2 linked regions of the Arabidopsis thaliana genome follow. The protein of the gene in region 1 interacts with the protein of each later gene in a pairwise test. Each region holds a gene or a part of one and is shown on either strand. Other genes may lie near its edges. The genes, in order: AT3G11850 and MYB121.

Evidence for each region.
Region 2: the proteins of AT3G11850 (region 1) and MYB121 interact in a two-hybrid assay, tested with the Arabidopsis thaliana proteins (one large-scale study listed by BioGRID).

What each region holds. Positions count from the first base shown.
Region 1 is NC_003074.8:3,738,012-3,743,362, forward strand, and holds AT3G11850 (myosin-binding protein (Protein of unknown function, DUF593)), read right to left. Parts: upstream 3,743-5,351; 5' UTR 3,334-3,742; intron 3,241-3,333; 5' UTR 3,091-3,240; coding exon 1,726-3,090; intron 1,612-1,725; coding exon 1,565-1,611; intron 1,314-1,564; coding exon 1,211-1,313; 3' UTR 742-1,210; downstream 1-741. Other genes in the region: PUB24 (E3 ubiquitin-protein ligase PUB24-like protein), read right to left, coding at 1-197.
Region 2 is NC_003074.8:11,836,647-11,841,185, forward strand, and holds MYB121 (myb domain protein 121), read left to right. Parts: upstream 1-1,716; 5' UTR 1,717-1,920; coding exon 1,921-2,098; intron 2,099-2,757; coding exon 2,758-2,887; intron 2,888-3,144; coding exon 3,145-3,667; 3' UTR 3,668-3,856; downstream 3,857-4,539.

The sequences.
Region 1 (5,351 bases):
TTAGGTGTAAGATCGGAGTCTAAGGGAAGAGGTTGCTTCGTGACGGGACAAGAAGGGACCTTTTCGAGCCATTTAACGATGTTTTGACGGTCGTAAGTGATGCCAGAAACGGTCGTGACTGGATCTTTCATGATCTCTAGTGAGATTGGGCAGATAAAGTAATTAGGAATCTCGATCTCTTCCTCTTCTTGATCCATTTGTGGAAAAACGTATGATTTTGTGTACGTATATATATTCATATAATGATGATCTAGAATAATAGTAAAGATGAAGAAGAAGAGAAACATGTGGTGGAAGTAAGAAATGGCGGCTCCGTTTACTTAATTGGTCTTCGCTTTTGAATTCCACTAACATATGTTTTTTAGACAAAGAAATATTCACTATCAAAACATGACACGTGTCTGTTTATTTGTCAATGAAATGAAATCACTCTTCACGTATACTGAATAAAATAACAATTTTATGTAAGTCCCCTCCTAATTATTTTTATTTTTGGTAATCGAAAAATTCAATATCGAAGATTTCTAGACCATCTTTTTTTGAACAAGAGACTAGAGCAAATATGTTAAATCTATATATTGTTTTTTACTCTCAGCAGCAACTCGGCTTTAGAACATGGTCTGAATTTTGATCCTTCCAAAATATGTCCATGGTCGATTACAAACTTTTTTTTCTTTTTGTTAACTCTATTCAACTCATGGTCAGCAAACAGAACATTCTATTATATTTCATGGAAAATTTCTTTTGTTTCATTTTAAGGTCAACAAATATATAGGAGGAATGCTGACAACAAATATTTTTATTTTCCTTTTCCCAAGTGTGGGAAATGAGGTTTGAAACGGGAACATTTTACATTTTCCTTCACTTATTTATGTGATGAATCCATCTCCAAAATATTGATAAAAAAAAGAAAAAAGAATCCATGAATGAAACAATTCATGTTAGAAACCATACAAAGATTGTATAGCCTCTGAGTTATATCATTCTTCAACCCAATTCTTTTATACAACAGTTAAAATATTGAGGAAAACAGATTGAAAATCGCACAGCAAATACATTTTCTCTGCAACCCAAGAACGAGAATCCAATTCAAGTTGAAGAAAGGCCGACAAATGTTACCTCGCCAATCCCACATCAGTATTTGACATTATGTGCTTCGAATCTAGAGTCAGGAGAGTGATTTTGTTGGCTTGAAAGGATTGGATCTGTTTCACACTTGCGTGCTCCTAAGACATCGCCATTTCCTTGACCGAGGGACTTTTTCTAGAAGCATTTGCAAGCCGATGTTGTTTCCTGACATCCCATACATGTATCTGCGTATTTGCATTGGAACAGAGACCAGCATAAGTTTCATAAGCAGCTCCCTAAAATCCAACAGTAATTTCTAAACTATCATGTGAAACATTGCCTTGTTTTTCGAATATTAAGGACGAGATTATAGTGCAAGAGAGCACCGGTTTGAAAATGGATGACAATAGTTATTTCTCAAAGAGATTCACAGATCTTTCTCTTGTGATAGGTATGTGAAGCATAGAGTAACCAAAATTTGTTACAGGTTACTTACTTGCTTCGACGAGCCTTTCTTTTCCAGGAAACAAAAGATGTGATCCACTGCAGAGGAATAAGAATCAAAATTACAGAAACAAGTTAGAGTGAGAACAGTAGAAAACAAGAGACAGCTTTAGACGAAGTTGCTTTGTGATCATACAGAAACATGACAATCACCTTAAAGACCGGCGTAAAAGTCAATGGCCCAGCAATAGATGCTTTACGTAGAGGCAATCTCCGTTGAGGGACAACTTCCTTTGACAAGTGTTGAGCAATTTCTTTCAACAGTACCATTTGAGCCTTTTCAGTCCTCATAGAGAGAAGCGCATGTTTCATTGATTCCCTGTCAGCCTCCAGTGCTTGAAGCCTCATGTAGAGTTTCGTTATATCAGGATCACCAAGATCCGTGTGTTCTCTCGGGAAAACAACATTGCCATCAGAAGCACCATCCTCAATCTTCTGCTCCGCTACACCGCCACTATGAGCCACACTGCTGTGATGAACAGAATCAATGGTATAAACTCTATCACTCATGTCATCTCCTATTTCCGACAAGTCATCTTTAGCATTATTATTCTCTGTATACGAGACATCTTCCATTTTCTTAGAGCTGTAGCTTTGGGACCTCGGGGAATCAACAAAAACATCAGGTCTTAGTTCTTTAGATGCTCCCAAGTGTGAACTTGATGAACCAGTAGGGGAAATCCTCCTAAAATGTCTTTGACGCCTAGGACTCTCACCAACCATCCCCTTCTCTGAAACATCCCTCCCTCTATTCAACTGAGTAAAGCTAGGATTCGTCTCCATCTGGCTGAGTCTTCGATCCAAAGTCTTTAAATGTACTCTCCCATGAGGAGAATCAGCTGGTGGATAGTTCTCATCATCTGCAACATAGATATCAGCCTCAAGAGGGTCTTGGTTCTCATTAATATTGCATTTAAGAGGAGGGTAATCTTGTGTAGGGCAGTCATATTCAGAACTAAAGTCGATCATGCTCGGGTTACGACTAAGCAAGCTCCTCTCACCATCAGCTTCTGCTTCGGTTAGCCCAAAACTCATCATTCTGTGCTTATAAGCCTGAGTTTCAAACGTAAGAGCCTGAATCGTCTGATCCCTTTGATAAACCATATTTTCCAATGCCTCAATCTCTTGGTTTTCATAATTCAATGTTTCGTCAACACTACGCTGAAGCTGTTTCAGTTCCAAGTCGATTTTTGCTTTTTCACGCTCCAACGTCTGAATCATCTTTACTGTTTCATCTGCAGCAGTTGATGAAGCAATACGCTCTTGCTCAAGCTCATGATACAAATCCTGAATCGTTTGCTGTTGATTGCTAACAGTCTCGCGTAGTAATTCACATTCGTTCTCAATTTGGACTCTAGGATTAGAGAACATGTCTAGGTCGTCCAGCTCCGGTATCGAGAATCGTTTCTCGGTCTGTAATTCGTCGTGTCTTCTCTTCTTCACAGATCGAATCCATGAACCAGGGGAGGAAGAACAACAATCGCATCCACAGTCGCAACATTTGATCGGAGATTCCATTCCCAATTCCAAGATTCTCCTCACACCAACCACACAAATTATACAGAGAATCGCGAAAAATTACAGGAAGAGACCTAAATCGCACTAACCCCTAAATCATCGGAAGCTTCTCAGGAAAAAAAAAAAAAAAAAATCCAGCTGAAGCCAATTCTGCGGAAACAACACAGTAAAACTCAATTTCAGAATCTGGATCAAGAGAGAAAACAAAAATCCGAAAACGCAAATTGATGAAACCTTACTTACCCCTTGGCGACCCAGAAATTGGAGAGAATTTTGTCTCCCGTCCACGAAACAGAGAAACAGAACGAGAAACGTTTTTTCTATCGCGTAAACAAACAAAAAAAAGAGGACAAAAAAGGTATTAAGGAATTTTCGTAATTGTAGAGAATGAATTCAAATTGTATGTATTGAAAAAAAGGTTTTGATAATTGTTTGATTTTTGGAAACCCTAAAAATCTGTTTTATTCATCTGGATTTTTATTTTTTTTTGTCTATAATAAACGGAGGAGAAGGATTCTCATGGAGTCTCTCTTCTGTCTGTCAGACTCTGTCTCCTGTTCCCGATGATGGTTGTCAGGGAGACTATTTTTGGTATAAACGAGGAGACGATCCTGAATGAACGTCAAGATGAGGTATTGGCTAAAGATCAACGGCTGATATTTGATTGAGTGAGGTGTCATAAGTCAATAACCTACGAACAAAGTACATGGCGGCATGACCTCAAAAATCAAAAAAAATATCTCGGGTTCATAATTTCAAATGTTCTTTTAAGGCCCATATCCAATAGACCAATACAACCAGCAAATTTTGTGAAGTCAACTTTCTTGTTCGAATTCAGCAAAAAAGTTTTCTTTTAATTGTTTTTTGTATTTGCAATTTGTACTTTTGTGTTTATATATGGTTGATTTGTTGCAAAATGTAAGACAAGTCACGAATTTAGGATTTAATGAACTTCTGTCAGATTGTATTTATGAAGAAAAGGATTTGTGTAGTTTCATATTGAGTGTGTTGATTTGAGTAATTATAATACATTGACTATGGTCATATTTTTAAAAATAATGTAGTACTAGATCATGCCCCGTTTTATATCATGGGTTAAATTTTATTTAGTCCAAAATTTGATATATTAATATATTTTATAATAATTTTTTCATATATTTTAGAATTATAGGTATGAGAAATGGAAACGAAAGAAAAATTATGAAGTTTAGAGCTCATTGTATCCCTGATTTGTTTCTTTGTGGCAAAAGAGCCGAACGAGTTTTTAGGAGATTGTGGTGAAGGAGAAAAATTGGACGAGTTTTTTTTTAAAAGTTAATTTACCCATTGGGGAAATTCTTGTTGGTCGACGTGACATCGACAACCGAGAAGAAATATTTTTAGAGAAAGAGCTTTTTCTAGAATGAGGTTTTGTAGTTTTTCAAATAGCATCAAAAAGTATATGTTTTGCACCTCATCAAGAGGTTTTGTAGTTTTTAATTTTTTTTTAACTATATATTGAATAGTCACATGTGATTAGGAGATTGAAAAAAATACTAATGAACTAAATTATCAATCGGAAAACAAAATAAAATAAAACGGTGTGTCTTTTTCATCAATGTGATAATTTCGTAGTTTGGGATAAAAAAAAGTCTACTTTGGTATTAGTTTACTTCTTTTAAAACCGGGGTAGAAGATTGTCGAAAAATCAAGGAAAGAGTGACAAACTTTAGAAAAGTTTAGAGGGTATTACAGATTCTTATTTTACAAAGAATTTTGATGACTCTAATAAATTATAGAAAGTAAAGGGATGTTATTAGTTTGTAAGTTAAATAGAATTTTAGTGATTCAATCAATTTTTCTGATTAGTTTAAGATTTGTAAAAGTAATCTAAAGTCTTCATAAATATGAAGTTATTGGATTCATAATTTTATAAAATCAATAAAAGTTTTGTGTTATTGAATTAAAACAAAAAAAATCTATGATTGTTGATGAATTAAATTATTATATTATTAGTTATATATGTTCTATACTAATCAACAATAAAATTATATTTTAATTTATTAACAATCATAAATTCTTTTGTTTTAAATGAATAACACAAAACTTTAATTGACTTTATAAAAGAATAAATTCAATAATTTCAGATTTATGAAAATATTAAATTCTTTCTATAAATCTTAAATCAATAACATCACACTTTCACTAACTTTTTAAAATCCTAATTGAATAACAACATATTCGATGTAATATTTTAATTCATTAAAACTCCATTTAAATAC
Region 2 (4,539 bases), 8.1 Mb from region 1:
CAATATGAATATGTATTGGTTTGGTTACTTATCTTAACTTAATTATAGTAAGACATGCGCAACAAATTTAGAGTGCTTTTGTTTCCCCCAAATAATTGATGTGCATAAATGGTTAAATAGCAAAAATGTTGTCCATACGTGTAGAGTCTTTGTCAGAATAGAACTTTTATATTTTTCTCTTTAATAGCAAAAATTATCATACTTCTAACGTCATTAAAGATTTTGTCTTTGATGCTTATCTGATAGCATCGACCAAAAACTCTACTTCGAAATGTAAAGTGAAAGATTTCTTATTAAACAAATTCTTAAATACAAATTACCAAAACCACAAGAAAGATTTAAAAAAAAAGTATATAAGAAACAAAGAAAAGAGTCATAATTCTGATAATTTAACATGTCTTCAAAGATCATTTTTAAATTTCATTTCCAAAGTTGAAATGTTCAGGGTTAAGAGAACTTTTTTCTCTATCTTATGTAAGAAATATTAATTAACATTTTTTTCCCTATTATATGATTTTATAGTTATCTGTTTTCTATGAATAATATTATTATTTAACATATTTGGTAATTATTTAAATTGGTAATAAAGAAGTTTTTTCTAATCAATCTCTATCGTAATGGATTGATGAGATCTAATTTTAAAAAAATCCTAATGAGGAATAGGTCCTCTCTCCACCTATAAATATATATATTTAAACCATCATAAGAATATAAAAAACACAACACGTTAAAAACTAAGTTTATAGACAAGGTAAGAGAAATCTGCTAACCTAAAAATTCAGGTAATCCGTTCACAAAAAAACTATCTGCAACAATGAATAGAGGTAATCTTATAAACCTCCTAATGAATCTATTATGTGATTAACTTAAATATTTAAAAATTTTAGGGGTTCATGTAAAGTTACACGTACATCTTAATCTAGTTTTCAAGTACGAATCTTGAACGTAAAAATGTTTAAACATTCAGATTAAAAAAAGACAGAAGATCGTATAATCTTTGGTTACTTGGTTTAACTAATTCAAGAAAACCCTAACATTGCCATAAATGTTGATACGTACAGCCGAAAGGCCACATGGATACAAGGTGAGTCATCGTTACTTTATTGTATGGAAGGCATTTTCTGATTTGTTTATTGCCCGATTTAGTATACACTTCATTAGGCCCATTAGTTAGAGCATAATTATATTTTTATATTTGTAAACTAATCACAAATTACTCTTAAAGCATGCCTCTTTTTTCGTTATTTTATTACACAGATGTTGAGATTCTAGTGGCTCATAAGTTCCTTTCGAGAATTTAAAGACAACCCACTAATATATTTTATAATATATATTTTCCGCCGAGAACTGAATCCAGAACAAAGTTATGCCTCTGTGATGATGTCTATAAGAAACTTTTTAAGTGTCCAAAGACAAAACCTTGTTGTTCAAGAATATTTTCTTTTTGGTGATGACGAATAAATTCATGGTACGGATCTATGTATAGATTTGGTAATAGGGTACTTGTAGAATCCTAATTGGGTAAGAAAATAATGAGCTGGTTCTCATTATGGTATCGACACTTGTTCGAAGAATAGTGGCTTCTCAAGATTGTTTCCGTGATTGAGGAAGTCTAGCTAGTAAAAAAAAATTATGATTGACGAGGCTAATGATAATGCATATGCTACATGGTTAACTATAGAGTCTATAAGTACATGAAATAAAATATTTAGAATCAAAACACCCACAAAAAGTAAGAAGTGACTGTTGTCAAGCATATAATAGAGATCCACATACTATTTATATCCACACGCACATGTTCAAGCAGAGACAAAGATATAGAAAACATAAACATAGAAGAGCAAATTAAGCAACAGTCTTACACAGACAGAAGTTGTAGAATTGATTTGTGAGTGAAAAACTATTTAAGACTGAACAAGTATGCTTGATTGGGGAGTTCAAGGTCATCATCAAAAGCATGATCATGATATTTATCAACAACAACATCAACAACAAGGATGTAGGAAGGGACCATGGACACTTGAAGAAGACAAGCTTCTCGCAGAGTATGTTACTTCGCATGGTGAAGGAAGATGGAGCACTGTAGCTAAGTGTGCAGGTAACTATTTTGATTCAATCATGGCTTCTAAAAACACATAAGTTTTACTAATCTAATCTTTATAATCTCGTAGACATATTAGTAAGCGAATCACCAAATTATACCAAAGATCTTGATCTTCTTTCTGTTTGAGTCTTTTTTTCAATGAAAGTAAGATTTAATTATAATAGTTATATATACATCTATATAATTAAATAACACATGCTTTTATGACGATTAATATAGATAAGTGTGAGATCATATAAGTGTATATGGGGTATAGTTGACCTGATTAAGCTCTTTCATTCTTTTTCTTTGTCTCTTTTTTATTTATTTATAATCTAGAAGCAGTCTCAAACTTTCACAAACAGAAAGAGGACAATGTCATGGTGGAAAGGTTTTACGGTTTATTGTTTTTCGAATAATCAAAAGATGATCTTTTATGATTCCTTGTTTTCTGTTTTCAGGAGTTGACTTTCATAAGTTTTGGGAACATTTTTACATATATTATACCCTTTTTATTCGAGCATTTTCGTCGAGATAATGTTAAAATTTAAGAGATTCATACTCATATATTATATAGATAAAGATCATCAAGTTGCATTATTTTTTTTATATCCATGTTATATGTCAAACCCATTTATAGTGCTCCATTTCCTTTCATGGAATTTAAAAATTAGGGTTGAATAGAAGTGGTAAAAGCTGTAGACTAAGGTGGGTGAACTACTTGAGGCCAGGGCTTAAGAGAGGACAAATCACTCCTCAAGAAGAAGGAATCATCCTTGAACTTCATTCCCTTTGGGGTAACAAGTAAGCTACTCTTTTTTTTCTTCTTGATATTCTCTAGTAAATGGTAAGCTCAAACCTACATAATAGATTGATATTATATATCAATGAAAGAAAGAGATACAATTACTCCAAAGTTTAACTAAAATATCATAGTCTAAACTATTCTTCATGAGTCTCAACTCTTTATTATCATACATTTGTACTAGTGTATACCTATGTTTAGTTTTTGTAATCAATCCTTTCATGAGAACTTACATATTTTCACAAAATATATATAGGTGGTCTACAATCGCAAGATATTTACCAGGACGAACCGATAATGAAATAAAAAACTACTGGAGAACACATTACAAGAAAAACCAAAAATCTTCTTCGAAGCAAGACAAAGTAAAAAAATCTCTATCCCGGAAACAACAACAAGTGGATCTTAAACCACAACCACAAGCACAATCTGAGAATCATCAGTCTCAGCTAGTGTCCCAAGATCACATGAATATCGACAACGATCATAACATAGCTTCATCCTTGTATTACCCGACAAGTGTCTTCGATGACAAATTATATATGCCTCAAAGTGTAGCAACAACCTCATCCGACCACTCTATGATCGATGAAGGTCACTTGTGGGGCAGCTTGTGGAATCTAGACGAGGATGATCCGCATAGCTTTGGTGGTGGCTCAGGACAGGGAACAGCTGCGGATATTGATGAGAAGTTTCCAGACAGCGGAATTGAGGCCCCGTCGTGTGGCTCAGGGGATTATAGTTATACTGGAGTTTACATGGGAGGCTATATTTTTTGATTAGTATGCTCGAAGATATCAAGAAGTTGTGTCTTCGTAGGTTGAGAAAAAAATTAAAACACCTCATTGTGTAATTTATAACTTTAGTAGTGATCTAAAACTAGAGTGGAGTGAGGCTAATAAGATGGTTTGGAATATATATGTCTATTCTACCATTGTTTGTATAAGTTTTATGGAATAAATAGTTTCAAAATAATCTTTCCATTTTTTTATTCCATGAACCCTTAATAGTGGTAGACATCATGCATTGTACTATTTCAGTGAAACCTTGACTCTGTCACATATAATTCATGTTGAGTAATCTTTCAAGTTAACTTAAGGCCTACAATAGCTTTAATAAGTCGGTTAAAGTATAAGATAAGGCTTAAGGAAATATATTAGTTTTAAGAGTTATCTAAACCTAATTGTAATAGGATTAGCAAAGTTGTGTCTTCTATAAATACATCTTTTGGTTAAGTTGTAACCATAAGAGAAGTGATAGAGCTTGTTTAGTTTTGAGAGAGTTTCTAAAGATCAAAAACGAGAGTAATTCTTTATATAAGTTTGTTCGAATCTTCTTTGTTTGGTATCAGAGCGGTTTCGATCAACTTGAAGGAGTCAAGTATGGAATCTTGAAGAACACAGCAGAGACGTAATCGAGCCATGGACGACATCGACTAACCACCACAACAGAAGGATCTTGTCCAGACAGCCATCTAATGCCCTATGCTAACCTTGCCAAACTATACAGTTTGTGCCATGAGGATGAAGGTCTTACTACGGGTTAATAAGTTGTGGGGCATGGGCATAGTTGAACGCGGTTTAGCAGACTCCACAAAACGATATCGCAATTTCTTTGTTGTTCCAATCCATCTCGAAGATTCTAATCTTAC